3 linked regions of the Cricetulus griseus genome follow. The main gene of each other region encodes a partner of the protein of the gene in region 3 in a complex. Links are inferred from orthologs where the notes say so. Each region holds a gene or a part of one and is shown on either strand. Other genes may lie near its edges. The genes, in order: coiled-coil domain-containing protein 8-like, Myom1 and obscurin-like protein 1.

What was found.
Region 1: obscurin-like protein 1 (region 3) and coiled-coil domain-containing protein 8-like share a complex: the UniProt entries of both Homo sapiens proteins name them as parts of the 3M complex. The link is inferred for Cricetulus griseus from reciprocal best matches to the Homo sapiens genes OBSL1 and CCDC8.
Region 2: the proteins of obscurin-like protein 1 (region 3) and Myom1 are in contact, whole or in part, in a crystal structure (PDB 5FM5), measured with the Homo sapiens proteins. The link is inferred for Cricetulus griseus from reciprocal best matches to the Homo sapiens genes OBSL1 and MYOM1. Residues at the interface, in NP_056126.1 of Homo sapiens: Pro243, Lys253, Phe255, Val257, Asn258, Gly260, Lys261, His262, Ala263, Lys264, Phe265, Arg266, Cys267, Tyr268, Val269, Met270, Gly271, Lys272, Pro273, Pro275, Trp279, Lys305, Tyr308, Tyr317, Cys319, Ala321, Arg322, Asn323, Ser324, Ala325; in NP_003794.3 of Homo sapiens: Arg616, Pro617, Ser618, Ala619, Pro620, Trp621, Thr622, Gly623, Gln624, Ile625, Ile626, Val627, Thr628, Glu629, Glu630, Glu631, Pro632.

The regions. Positions count from the first base shown.
Region 1 is NC_048602.1:11,621,376-11,625,121, reverse strand, and holds the start of coiled-coil domain-containing protein 8-like, read right to left. Parts: upstream 2,225-3,746; 5' UTR 1,431-2,224; coding exon 1-1,430. UniProt on the Homo sapiens protein: Core component of the 3M complex, a complex required to regulate microtubule dynamics and genome integrity. It is unclear how the 3M complex regulates microtubules, it could act by controlling the level of a microtubule stabilizer.
Region 2 is NC_048595.1:459,501,386-459,505,131, reverse strand, and holds the start of Myom1 (myomesin-1), read right to left. Parts: upstream 2,810-3,746; 5' UTR 2,712-2,809; intron 1-2,711. UniProt on the Homo sapiens protein: Major component of the vertebrate myofibrillar M band. Binds myosin, titin, and light meromyosin. This binding is dose dependent.
Region 3 is NC_048595.1:428,628,835-428,631,800, forward strand, and holds the end of obscurin-like protein 1, read right to left. Parts: coding exon of another isoform or gene 2,912-2,966; intron 2,798-2,911; coding exon 2,641-2,797; intron 2,481-2,640; coding exon 2,319-2,480; intron 2,028-2,318; coding exon 1,923-2,027; intron 1,605-1,922; coding exon 1,335-1,604; coding exon of another isoform or gene 1,327-1,334; intron 688-1,326; coding exon 680-687; 3' UTR 549-679; downstream 1-548. UniProt on the Homo sapiens protein: Core component of the 3M complex, a complex required to regulate microtubule dynamics and genome integrity. It is unclear how the 3M complex regulates microtubules, it could act by controlling the level of a microtubule stabilizer.

The sequences.
Region 1 (3,746 bases), on a different chromosome or scaffold from region 3:
TTAGCTGCAGCCTCTGCCCTCGGATTAGCTGCAGCCTCTGCCCTCGGATTAGCTGCAGCCTCTGCCCTCGGATTAGCTATAGCCTCTGCCCTCGGATTAGCTGCAGCCCCTGCCCTCGGATTAGCTGGAGCTCCTACCCTCCGATTGGCTGCAGCCCCTGCCCTCGGATCAGCTGCAGCCTCTGCCCTTGGATTAGCTGCAGCCTCTGCCCTCCGATTGGCTGCAGCCCCTGCCCTCCGATTGGCTGCAGCCCCTGCCCTCGGATTAGCTGCAGCCTCTGCCCTCGGATTGGCTGCAGCCCCTGCCCTCCGATTGGCTGCAGCCCCTGCCCTCCGATTGGCTGCAGCCCCTGCCCTCGGATTAGCTGCAGCCTCTGCCCTCGAATTGGCTGCAGCCCCTGCCCTCCGATTGGCTGCAGCCCCTGCCCTCCGATTGGCTGCAGCCCCTGCCCTCGGATTAGCTGCAGCCCCTGCCCTCGGATTAGCTGCAGCCCCTGCCCTCGGATTAGCTGGAGCCTCTGCCCCCTGGATCTCTGCAGCCTCTGGGGGCCCCTGGGCTGGCATGCCTGTGCCCTGAGCTGGGAGTGGCGCCGCCTGCTCCTTCCTGGACCGCCTCAAGGAGACCCACTTGAATTTGGGATTCCAGCAGCTGGTACCCTGTGTCTGGTCGCTCCCATCCTCCGAGTTTCTGGAGCCATCGTCCCCCCTGGTGAGGCTGTGTCTCAGTCCTCCAGCCCTCTCAGCTGCCATGGAGGCCTGCTGGGCCTCGCCCACCTCGGAGCCTGACCTGGGTGCCCAGCCCTTTACCCTCTGTTTCAGCTTCCCCCAGGACACCTGACTGACATACTCCCGCCATCTGTCCGCCTTGGATGGCCTGGGACCCAGGTTGTTCTCAAACATGGGCACTGGCAGATTGACTCGGCGTCGTGGAGGAGGCAGGCCGGGCTTCTTCTCTCCCCGGCGGAGGAAGGCCTCCACCAGCTCCTGATCATCCTCGCTCTCCACGTCGCTGCCCAGGAATTTGCTGCCCAAGTAACTGACCGGCATTTTGCGCACCTTTCTGGTCCTCTGGGAGCCCCTGTTGCCTTTGACTTTGGAGGTCTCCAAGTCACTCAACTCGCTGTCGCTGGCGTTGCTGCTGTCATAGGTGCCTACAATCAGCCGGAGTGGAGGAGTGACCATCTGGGGGATTGCCCTCACTCGGGGCTCCTTGGCTCTCTTGCGGGGCTGGGGTGGGTGTGGAGTACTCTTTTCGATGATTCGGGCCACGTCTTCCAGGGTGCGGCCCTCCTCCTGCAGAAACTGCATCAGCCGCTCGCGAAACACAGCTTCCTTGGTGGCGGGCTTGGAGATGACCCTCCACACGCCCCCAGCCAGCCGGACCTCCCGGGGGATGAGCAGATAGTCAACATCCTCCCCAATCTGCAACATTCCCACCGTGGAGTCCTCCTCTTTGCGGAACACCTTCCCGATCTTCTTAAAGGTGCCCACGGGCCTTAAGGCCTCCACCAACACGTCCAGATCGACATCTTTGCAGACATCAGGGACACTCCAGAGGATCAGGCAATCGGGGGAGGGGAGGAAGCCCCAGGGGAACCATCCCCCCACGTGGCTTTTCTCGAGAGTCTTTAAGATCTCCAGAGTGGACTCTGGGGCGGGGGGGCAAGAAGCCCAAACAAACAAACAAAAAACTTGCTTCTAGTCTTGGGGAGAGGGCAGAGAGGGTTCCAGCAACTCTCTGCTCACGCAGAGTGTCACCTCCCCGCAGTTTGCTCCGCAGGCGATGAGTCCAAGTTGGGTTTCTCTCACCCCTCGGAGTTGTAGCGAGCAATTTTCCAGGGTGCTTACGGGAAGAGAGAGGTGAGGTCAGTCCCGAGGCTCAAAGCTCGGTCCAAACTGGAATCGCCAGCGTCCCCGCTCCAAGCTGGGAACGCACGGGCTCTGATCTCTGATCGCTTCTCCCTTGGCCCCGACACCCCGGGGTGCAGCTGAAAGTTTGTGGGAGGACTCTGCAAACAAAGGCGGCTCAGCGTGGTGGCCGTTCAATATGGCGAGGAGCTTCAAGGCCTCCGCCCAGCACCGAGGAGGGTCTCCCGCCCCCAGGAAGGCAGCCACCCGCTCCAGGCTGACCTTGCTTGCTGTCTGTCTGCGGTGGAGCTGAGAGTGGCAGGAAGTTTCTGGGCGCCCTCCCCTCCTGGGTGAGGCCCACCTTCTTCTCATCTTACACTCTCAGCCTGGGAAGACTGGCAGCGGAGCTGTCCACTCCCTTCAGGGCAACCTCCCTCTCCTCCCCACAGAGGTGTGGCCGCCCCCTAGGGCCTCGCTGGGGCCACGGCTTCCCATCTCAGCTTCCAAAACCCACGTCATCATGTCCTCCTCCCCCCCAACCCCCGCCCCCGAAAGGCAGCGGGTCTCCAACCTGCCATACTCGACGTGCAAGGCTAAGGCCAGTGGACTTACCGGGATGGGACCAGAGAGATGGCTCAATGGTTAAGAGCCTGGGCTGCTCTTGCAGAGGCCTTGCGTTGAGTCCCAGGACCCACGTGATGGCTCCTAATCCTCTGTTACTCCAGGCCCAGGGGATCCAACACCCCCTTCTGATCTCTGTGGGCACTAATGCACATACATAGCCGCAGGCAAGACATTCATGCACATAAAAAAGGGACCCACAAGATAACTCAGTGGGTAAAAACATTTGCCATGCAAGCCTGATGACCTGAATTCAATCCCCAGAACCCACATAAAACCAACTCCACAAATCGTTGTCCCAGGGCTGGAGAGATAGCTCAGAGGTTAAGAGCACTGGCTGCTCTTCCAGAGGTCCTGAGTTCAATTCCCAGCAACCATATGGTGGCTCACAACCATCCATTATGAGATAATGGTACCCTCTTCTGGTGTGCAGATAGACATGGAAGCAGAATGTTGTATTCATAATAAATAAATGAATCTTTTTTTTTTTAAAAAAAGAAGGTTGTCCAATCTCCACACGCATAGATTAAACATATGCAAATATATACACAATGATAAAATTTTAAAATACAATATTTTCTTTAAAAAATCTTTTAAGATCAAAGAGATATTGTGGTACCTTAGTTCTTAATTTACTATGTATCCCACGTGACCTCAAACTTACAGTGATCCTCCTGCCTCATACTCTGACTACTGGTCTTCTGGGCGTGCATGGGCTACCATGCCAGGATGAAAGACAATGTTTTCAACAACAACAAAAATTAAGTAAAGAAGTGACTTTAGGGGTTGGAGAGATGGCTCAGTGGTTAAGAATGCTGACCACTCTTCCAGAGGATGCGGGTTCAATTCCCAGCACCCATGTGGCAGCTCACAACTGTCTGTAACCCCAGTTCCCAGGGACCCAACACCCTTGCACAGGAATACATGCAGGCAAAACAGCAATGAACATAAAAATAAATACATCCTTTTTAAAAGGGTTAATATCAACATATAACAATTAATTTAATACCAATATAAAAACATCTACCAGACATGGAGTGCACACTTGTGATCCCAGTACTTGGAGGATGAAGAGACTAAGGTCATTCTCAGTTACAAAGAGAGTTCAAAGCCAGCCTGGGCTACAAGAGACCCTGTCTCAAATAACAACCCCAGGGGCTGGAGAGGTGACTCAGTGACTAAGAGCCCTTGGTGCTCTTGAAAAAGAGCTGGATTTGGTTCCCAGCACCCACATGGTCACTCACAGTCACCCAGTTGCAGGGGATCGGACACTTCCTA
Region 2 (3,746 bases), about 31 Mb from region 3:
TAATCAGAAAGCCCTGTAAGGTCAGCTGAGAGATATTAGAAAATTGAGGTCAATCAAGGGACTTGTTCTCAGAGTTATGCTAAAGGAAAGATATGAAGCAGAACGCAGATTGTCAAACTGGTAGTGAGAAGGTTCTCACCGGCTGTATTTGGAAGACCTCTTCTAAGTTCCAAAAGAACAGGAACATCACACAGAGTCAGAGGCCTTTGGTAGAGGGTCTGATCACTAAACTTTCATGTCAGAACAGTAGATAGAGTAGTAAGACTTAAGCTGATTTCTCCACATTGACTTGGTATATCCATAGTTCTGCAGACATGGATAAAAGGTGAACAGAACCCAACTTCCAATCAGCCAGGTTCTTTGTCTACCCCGGCCCCCAGACCTGACATGCCTCTCTCCTTTCCTCCACTAACCCCTAGAATCAGCACCCTAGAATTGCCCTCTGGGGACATCTTCCACTAGTCCCTAGGAGGGTTTATTTGTCCTTCTATAACCTGTTCTGTGGTGATATTTTGTTTGTGATCTAACAAATAAAGCTTGCCTGAAGATCTGAGTGCAGAGCTAGCCATACTAGTTAGCCATAGAGGCCAGCACTAGGGAGACAGAGGCAGAGGGATCGTTGAGAGTTCAAGGCCACCCTGGGCTACATGAAATTGATCCAGTCTGAAAGAGACAGAGAGCCAAGTGGTGCTGCACACCTTTAATCCCAGCACTAAGGAGGTGGAGATATAAGGCAGGGAAGCAGTCTGAGGAGGCAGTCTGAGGACAGGATAGCTCCCTTTGGTTTGAGCATTGGTAGAGGTAAGAACTCTAATGGATGCTCTGCTTCTCTGATCCTTCAGCTTTCACCCCCCAATAACTGACTCCAAGTTTTTATTTATTAAGACCAAAGAGAATTCATGCTACACTGTTTCATATTTGTCGCTGTAATTCTCCACCCTTTCTGTTCCATAGCACAACCCAACCCCAGAGGTCCCAACTGTTCATTTTTAAAATGAGCAAACCATAGCCCCTATCACAGTGTTCACAAGTTTAATAGCTATTGGCTGATTTTGAAGGGACCAGCTTCCCTTTCCGCAGCCATAACAGTCGAACACGTGCTTGCCATAAACCTGCCTTGGTCACTTAGAGGTCAGATGCCTGTCTCGTGACAAGGAATCCATCAGAAGTTAGTCACTAGAAAGTCAGATGCCTGTCTCGTGACAAGGAACCAATCGAAAGTTAGCTGGTGGCGCTATGCTTTACGACCCTGGGTGTGCTTTAAGGACTAGCACACAGCAATGACGTAGAGAGCATAGCAACCGCCCTGGGAGGGCCTATGGGCCATAACAACCAGTTGACCAATCAACACAGGGCAAGCCCTCCAAGCCTGGAAGCACACCAATCATGAGCCTGTGCGTATCCCTAGACACTCCCCTTACGCTGCCTTATAAAGATCTGTGCGCAGCAGCTTCAAACTGTCTTTTCTAGCCATCCGCCATGGCAGGTGGTTGAAAGACCCGAGCTAACATGGGGTTAGCTTGTTAAATTACAATAAAGCCTCGTGCAGTTTGTAGCAAGCTCTCGAATCCGCCTGGTGATTGGGGTGACCGCGAACGTGGCCTGGGACCCCAGATACTTGAGTTTTTGGGGGTCTAACAATTTGAGGACACAATGAGAATTCCTAGAGAAGCAACAACTCCACTGTTTTCCAGTTGAAGGGGAAACTGGGCTGCATCTAAAGGGGTTTTGATTTTCCCCTGCAGGACAGCCAGCCCAGAATGTCTGCGCCTCCCAGTGTGACAGGCCATTACTCCATGGAGGTGTTAGTGTGCTGCAAAGATCCACTGTTGTCTGACTCCTCAGCTCTCTGAGTTTGTACTGTCTCGGCCTGCCACCAGCTGTGTCCCAGACCTTCCCAAAAACTCATGTTGGACTCCTAAGTCCTTGACTTTCCAGAACCTGCTCTTGAAGACCTTGATTCAGAGAGCTGGAGATGAATTACCCAGTTAATTGTATTTTTAGTTAGCACTGCAAGTGCTTCATAGTATCAAAAAAGGAGGGAAATTTTGTCACCTATAGGATTAGGGCAATTTATTTTTTTTTTTCTTCAGTGACTTTACCTCTGAGTTAACTTTAAACTACATCAGGGTTAGGGTTAGGAGAGTTCCTTGAAGAAAACATCTGGTTGGGGAGGGAGAGGGAACTGGGATTGACATGTAAAACAAGATGGTTTCTAACTTAAATTTTAAAAAGAGGAGAAAAAAACAAAACAAAACATCTGGTCTGTCAAGCGCCGGAGCCTTGAGGATGGATATGGAACTCTAGAACCGCTCTGTTCCCGCCAGGGTCGTCATTTGTTTCTGGACCCGAGAGTGACCACCAACAACAGACACCCCGGCCTTGGCAGGATTCCCGGCAGGGGCGAAACGAATCTGTCGAGCTTTCCCTTCGCTTTTAAGAAGAATTACTGCTGGCGGCTGACTCAACGCAAGGTCCAGCAGCACTTTAGCCCTATTTCACCAAGTCGCCCTGGAGCGATGGACGTGTGGAGCAGGAGTCACCACCAGGGTCAGAGGGGGCTCTGGGAGGAGGAAGTTCCAGGGAATGTTTTTTGGGAAGAGGGAGCAATAATGGCTACTTTCAGGGAGAAGAGGAGGGAGCATTGGCTACTTTCAGGGAGAAGAGGGAGCGATGGCTACTTTCAGGCTGTTTGCATCCATGAACTCTACCTGGACCAAAGGGAGTTTCCTCCCACGTCGGGAGAGCCAGGCTCTCCATATAAGGACACGCCGTGGCCGCCTCTCACAGCGCTCGCACACGCCCGCCCGCCCTCCCGGCGCGCCGCCCGGGCCCTGAGGGGGCAGCTGACCTAGACTCCTGAGTCACACACACAAACTTCCGCACGGGCGCATTCCCGCGGCCGGGGGCGGGGCCGAGGCGGTCACGTGAGGCCCGCAGCCCCGCCCCTCTCGCCGCCACTTCCCTACATGGACTGGGACCCGGGGTCCCCGCCTCTGCCCGGGGGCTCTGGAATGCGGGCGGGCGGGCTCAGGAAAAGCCCGGGATGGACGCAACCATCCGCGGGGAGGAGGGGGAGCGCAGCCGCAACCCCGAAAGAGGCGCGGGGTCGGCGATGACGGCGAGAGACCCTCTGCACGAGGATCCTTTGCGTCCCGAGCTCCCCGCTCTGTTCTCCCGCCTCGGCGCCCTGCGCCCGCCGGCCGCTCGGGCATCTTCCCTGCCGTCTCCTCCCCGTCTCCCCGCCCCCCGTGGTCGGCGCTGGCCCACGGAGGCGGTGGACAATGGCGGCTAGGCTTCCTTCCGGTTTGCTGGCGGAGACCGGAAGTGGCTGTCCTCGGGGCTTCTGGATAGATATAGGGGCTGAGGTCGGTTGCGAGCGGCCGGTGGAGCTTCGCAGTGACGGCCTCGGTTCCCGCGGCTGAGCAGGGTGAGTGGGGCTGGCCGCGGGGCGTGCGTGGCCCGGCCCGGCCCGGCCCGAGAGGGTGTCCCCGCGGGGAGCGCCGCCGGAGCCGCGCGGCCGGAGCGGAATGGGGAGCGCACCTGGGCAGGTGTGCGAGCCCCAGCGGGCGGCTGGCTGTGGGCTCGCCAGCCGGGGCAGCCGGCTTTGCTCTGTGTGCCAGACTCGGAGCTTGGAAAATGTTGCTTAGCTCGCTGGCTGGCGCCTGGGCGACTGCCGGGCCGCGAAACCGGAGCCCCCGCGGAGCTGACTCCGGAGCTGTGTTTGGTTGCTAACGTCAACGCGC
Region 3 (2,966 bases):
CTTGCCTTAGATTTCTGATGGGCAGGGCTTCTTCAGGGCCAGCCTGCCTCCTGTCCCACTGCTGGGGTCCCATGGGCCACTCTCCTGCATGTCTGTATGGAGGAGGCCTGCCTGCTTCCCCTATTGCTCTGACTTGCAGCCATCTAAGGGTTCCTGTCATTGTCCATGGAGCTAATGGCAGCACCCTTCACTCTGGTCCCCTGGCCTCTGCAAAGCCACCAGCCTGAAGGGCAGTGACAGGGGATGGAGTGGGGAGTGTTGTTCTGGGTTGGGTTTGGGAGGAGGGGGGAGGGAGAAGGGCTTAAATGCACGGTGCATGTCTGGAGTCTGCCATGCCACCCTGGACACCTCGTGCTTCTATCCCCTCCCACCCTATTTAACATCTTTTATAAATGTGCCAAACTATTTGGCCTCTGCCAGATGTCTTCAGTAACCGACCGGTACTTCCATCAACCAAGTTGGTAGCACTGCAACCTCAGAGCTATGTCACTGACTACAGGGGCTCCAAGCACGGCCTGCCCTCCCTGGTGTACAGACAGGCGTGGGCATGAATGGTAGCTTTTTTTTTTTATTATTGTTTCCTGATTCTCTCTGGCTCCTTCCTTTCCATCATGCCCAGTATAAGGGTACATCTCCTTCCAAACTGTCCGAGGGTACCCGCTTGGTCTGGGTCAGTCCTCTAATCACCTGTAGAGGGGTGGCTGCATGTAGACTGGTGGCAGGGAGACTAGGGTAAAACCCATTTCTTCCCCCTGGCAGAGCCTAGATACCCACGAGGGAAAGAGCAGGGTCCTACCCTCTCAGAGCCTCTGTCAGGGTGTCTATGGGGCCAAAGAAGTGGGGGCAGGAAGGGTGGAGCACACAGAAAAATGTGAAAGATATGCAAAGATTTGGGGTAGAGTGGGCACCTCCTATGTGAAAGAGGAAAGAAAGGAAGTTGCTGCCCAGGCTGCTGTTGAACCCACTTAAGAGAGCAGAAGCCTGCAGGACAACGGGCAGGAGGGGGTGGAGGTCAGGTACCAGCCGGTACTGGTGGGTAGTGAGGCACATTGCTACAGATACTGGTAGCAATGGGGTCTTCTGGGGAGACAAGCATGAACCAGAAGCAGAGGAAGTAAGAAGCCCTAGCAGGAAGGGTCCTAGGAAGGTCAGAGAAAGTTCTCTTGAGACTCGGGGCTCCCTCTCTTCTTCAGCCTTGGGTGTAATCTCTCCGGTCCCTCCCCCGTTCCCCACATGCACCAGAACCTACTGCCAAGGGTCTTTCCCCCATAGGGTGGCACCCCTGCCTGGTTAGCCTCCTGTTCGGGTGACTCTGCCCAGTGGGCTTTACTCACCCTCTACTAGCAGCTGTGTGTCGGCACTGTCCTGGCCCGCCTGGCAGCTGTAGGTGCCCTGGTCCTCAGGTCGGACATCATGGATGACCAGGCTGTGGGTGGGGCCGTGGCTGCGCATCTCATACTTGCTTCCCGGACACAATTCGATCCCCTCCCGCAACCAACACACGTGGCCTCCAGGGCGGGACACAGTCACCTCCAACACCGCCCTGCGGCCAGCCAGAACCGTCTTCTCGCGAGGTGGGCGGCGGCACATCTGGAGAGGCAACGCTGCGGTTGGGGGGACAGGAGCTTAATAAGGACACGCACGGCCCCTAGGGGACAGGTGCATCTTCTCTGCCTACGACCTCCATCCACTCCTGGCACAAGCCCTCCGTGCCATAGTCGGTTTCCCTGCATGCATGGCTCAAAGTCTCTTCCTCTCCATCTCCTCTTGAGGAAATGAGCTGCCCTCTGTGACCTGCCCCAAGAGAGCCCCCTCGAAGAGGAGAGATGAAGGAAGCAGCATCTCTAGGACCAGCGGCCAGTCAGTCAGTCCCAGGACCGGTGATGATGCCCTTCCCTGTCGCCTTCGCCTCAGAAGCTTACCCTCCACCTCCAGTCGAGCCAAAGACTGGGCGGGTCCCGCCTGGAAGCAGACTTCACCGGTGTCCTCGGCTCGCAGCTCGCTCAGCACCAGAATGTGTTTCTTCCCTGGGGGGGGGGAGGGGAAGGTAGCGAGGCCTCAGCCGCTTCCCGGGAGGATTCGAGAACGACCCGAGCAGGTCCCAGGGGGGCTCCGAAGAGTCGGTGCGCGCAATTGCAGATAGGAAGCGAAAAGGAGCTAGACTGGACACGGCGGAGGAAAGTCCGGGAGACCCTGGCAGTGGGGCCGTGGGGCGGAGCTGCTCGGGCTAGAGGCGGGGCTAATCCTAAAGGGGCGGAGTCTGCCTGCACCCTGGGCAAGGTAACAAGGGGTCACAGAGGGTAGGAAAGCGACCAGACCTTCCTGTCGGATGCGGACGCGGCCTCCGGGTCTCAGGACGCGGCCTCCGAGCTCCCAGCGTCCGGTGGTCTCGGTCTCTGACACAGTGCACTCGAACGTGGCGCTATCTCCTTCTCGGGCGCTAACGGACCGGAGCTCACGGAGCACAGACACCTCGCGCTCTGGGGCGGAGCCGTGGGCGTGAGGCGGGGGCGGGGCACACAGCCAGGACACACCCCCACCACGCCCCCTTACTAGAAGTGAGTAAACTGTCGGGGAAACACTCTTCCGCAGTCTAAGCGCCTAAAGTAGTACCCAGCCCGGGCACCCCTGGGTACCCACCGCGCACTGTCAGGCGCGCAGGCCCGGAGCGGGCCGTTCCCACAACGCAGCTGTAGGTCCCAGCGTCCGAGGAATTGCAGCGCCGCAGCAGCAGAAGGCGGCGCGCTCCGAGAGCCTGGAGTCGGAGCCGCGGGCTCGGAGAGAGTGCCTGCCCATCCTAATTAGGGCGGGGATTTGTAGTCGGTTAGACTGAGCCCAGCAAGACTCTGGAGGCCACGGCCCTGGAAGGTGGCGGTGTCCTCTGTGCATGCCAACCTGTCTAGAGGCTCACCAGGGGTTTCGTTGCGTTCCCCTGGTAGGGTTGGACTGATCCTCATCTTCCCTTT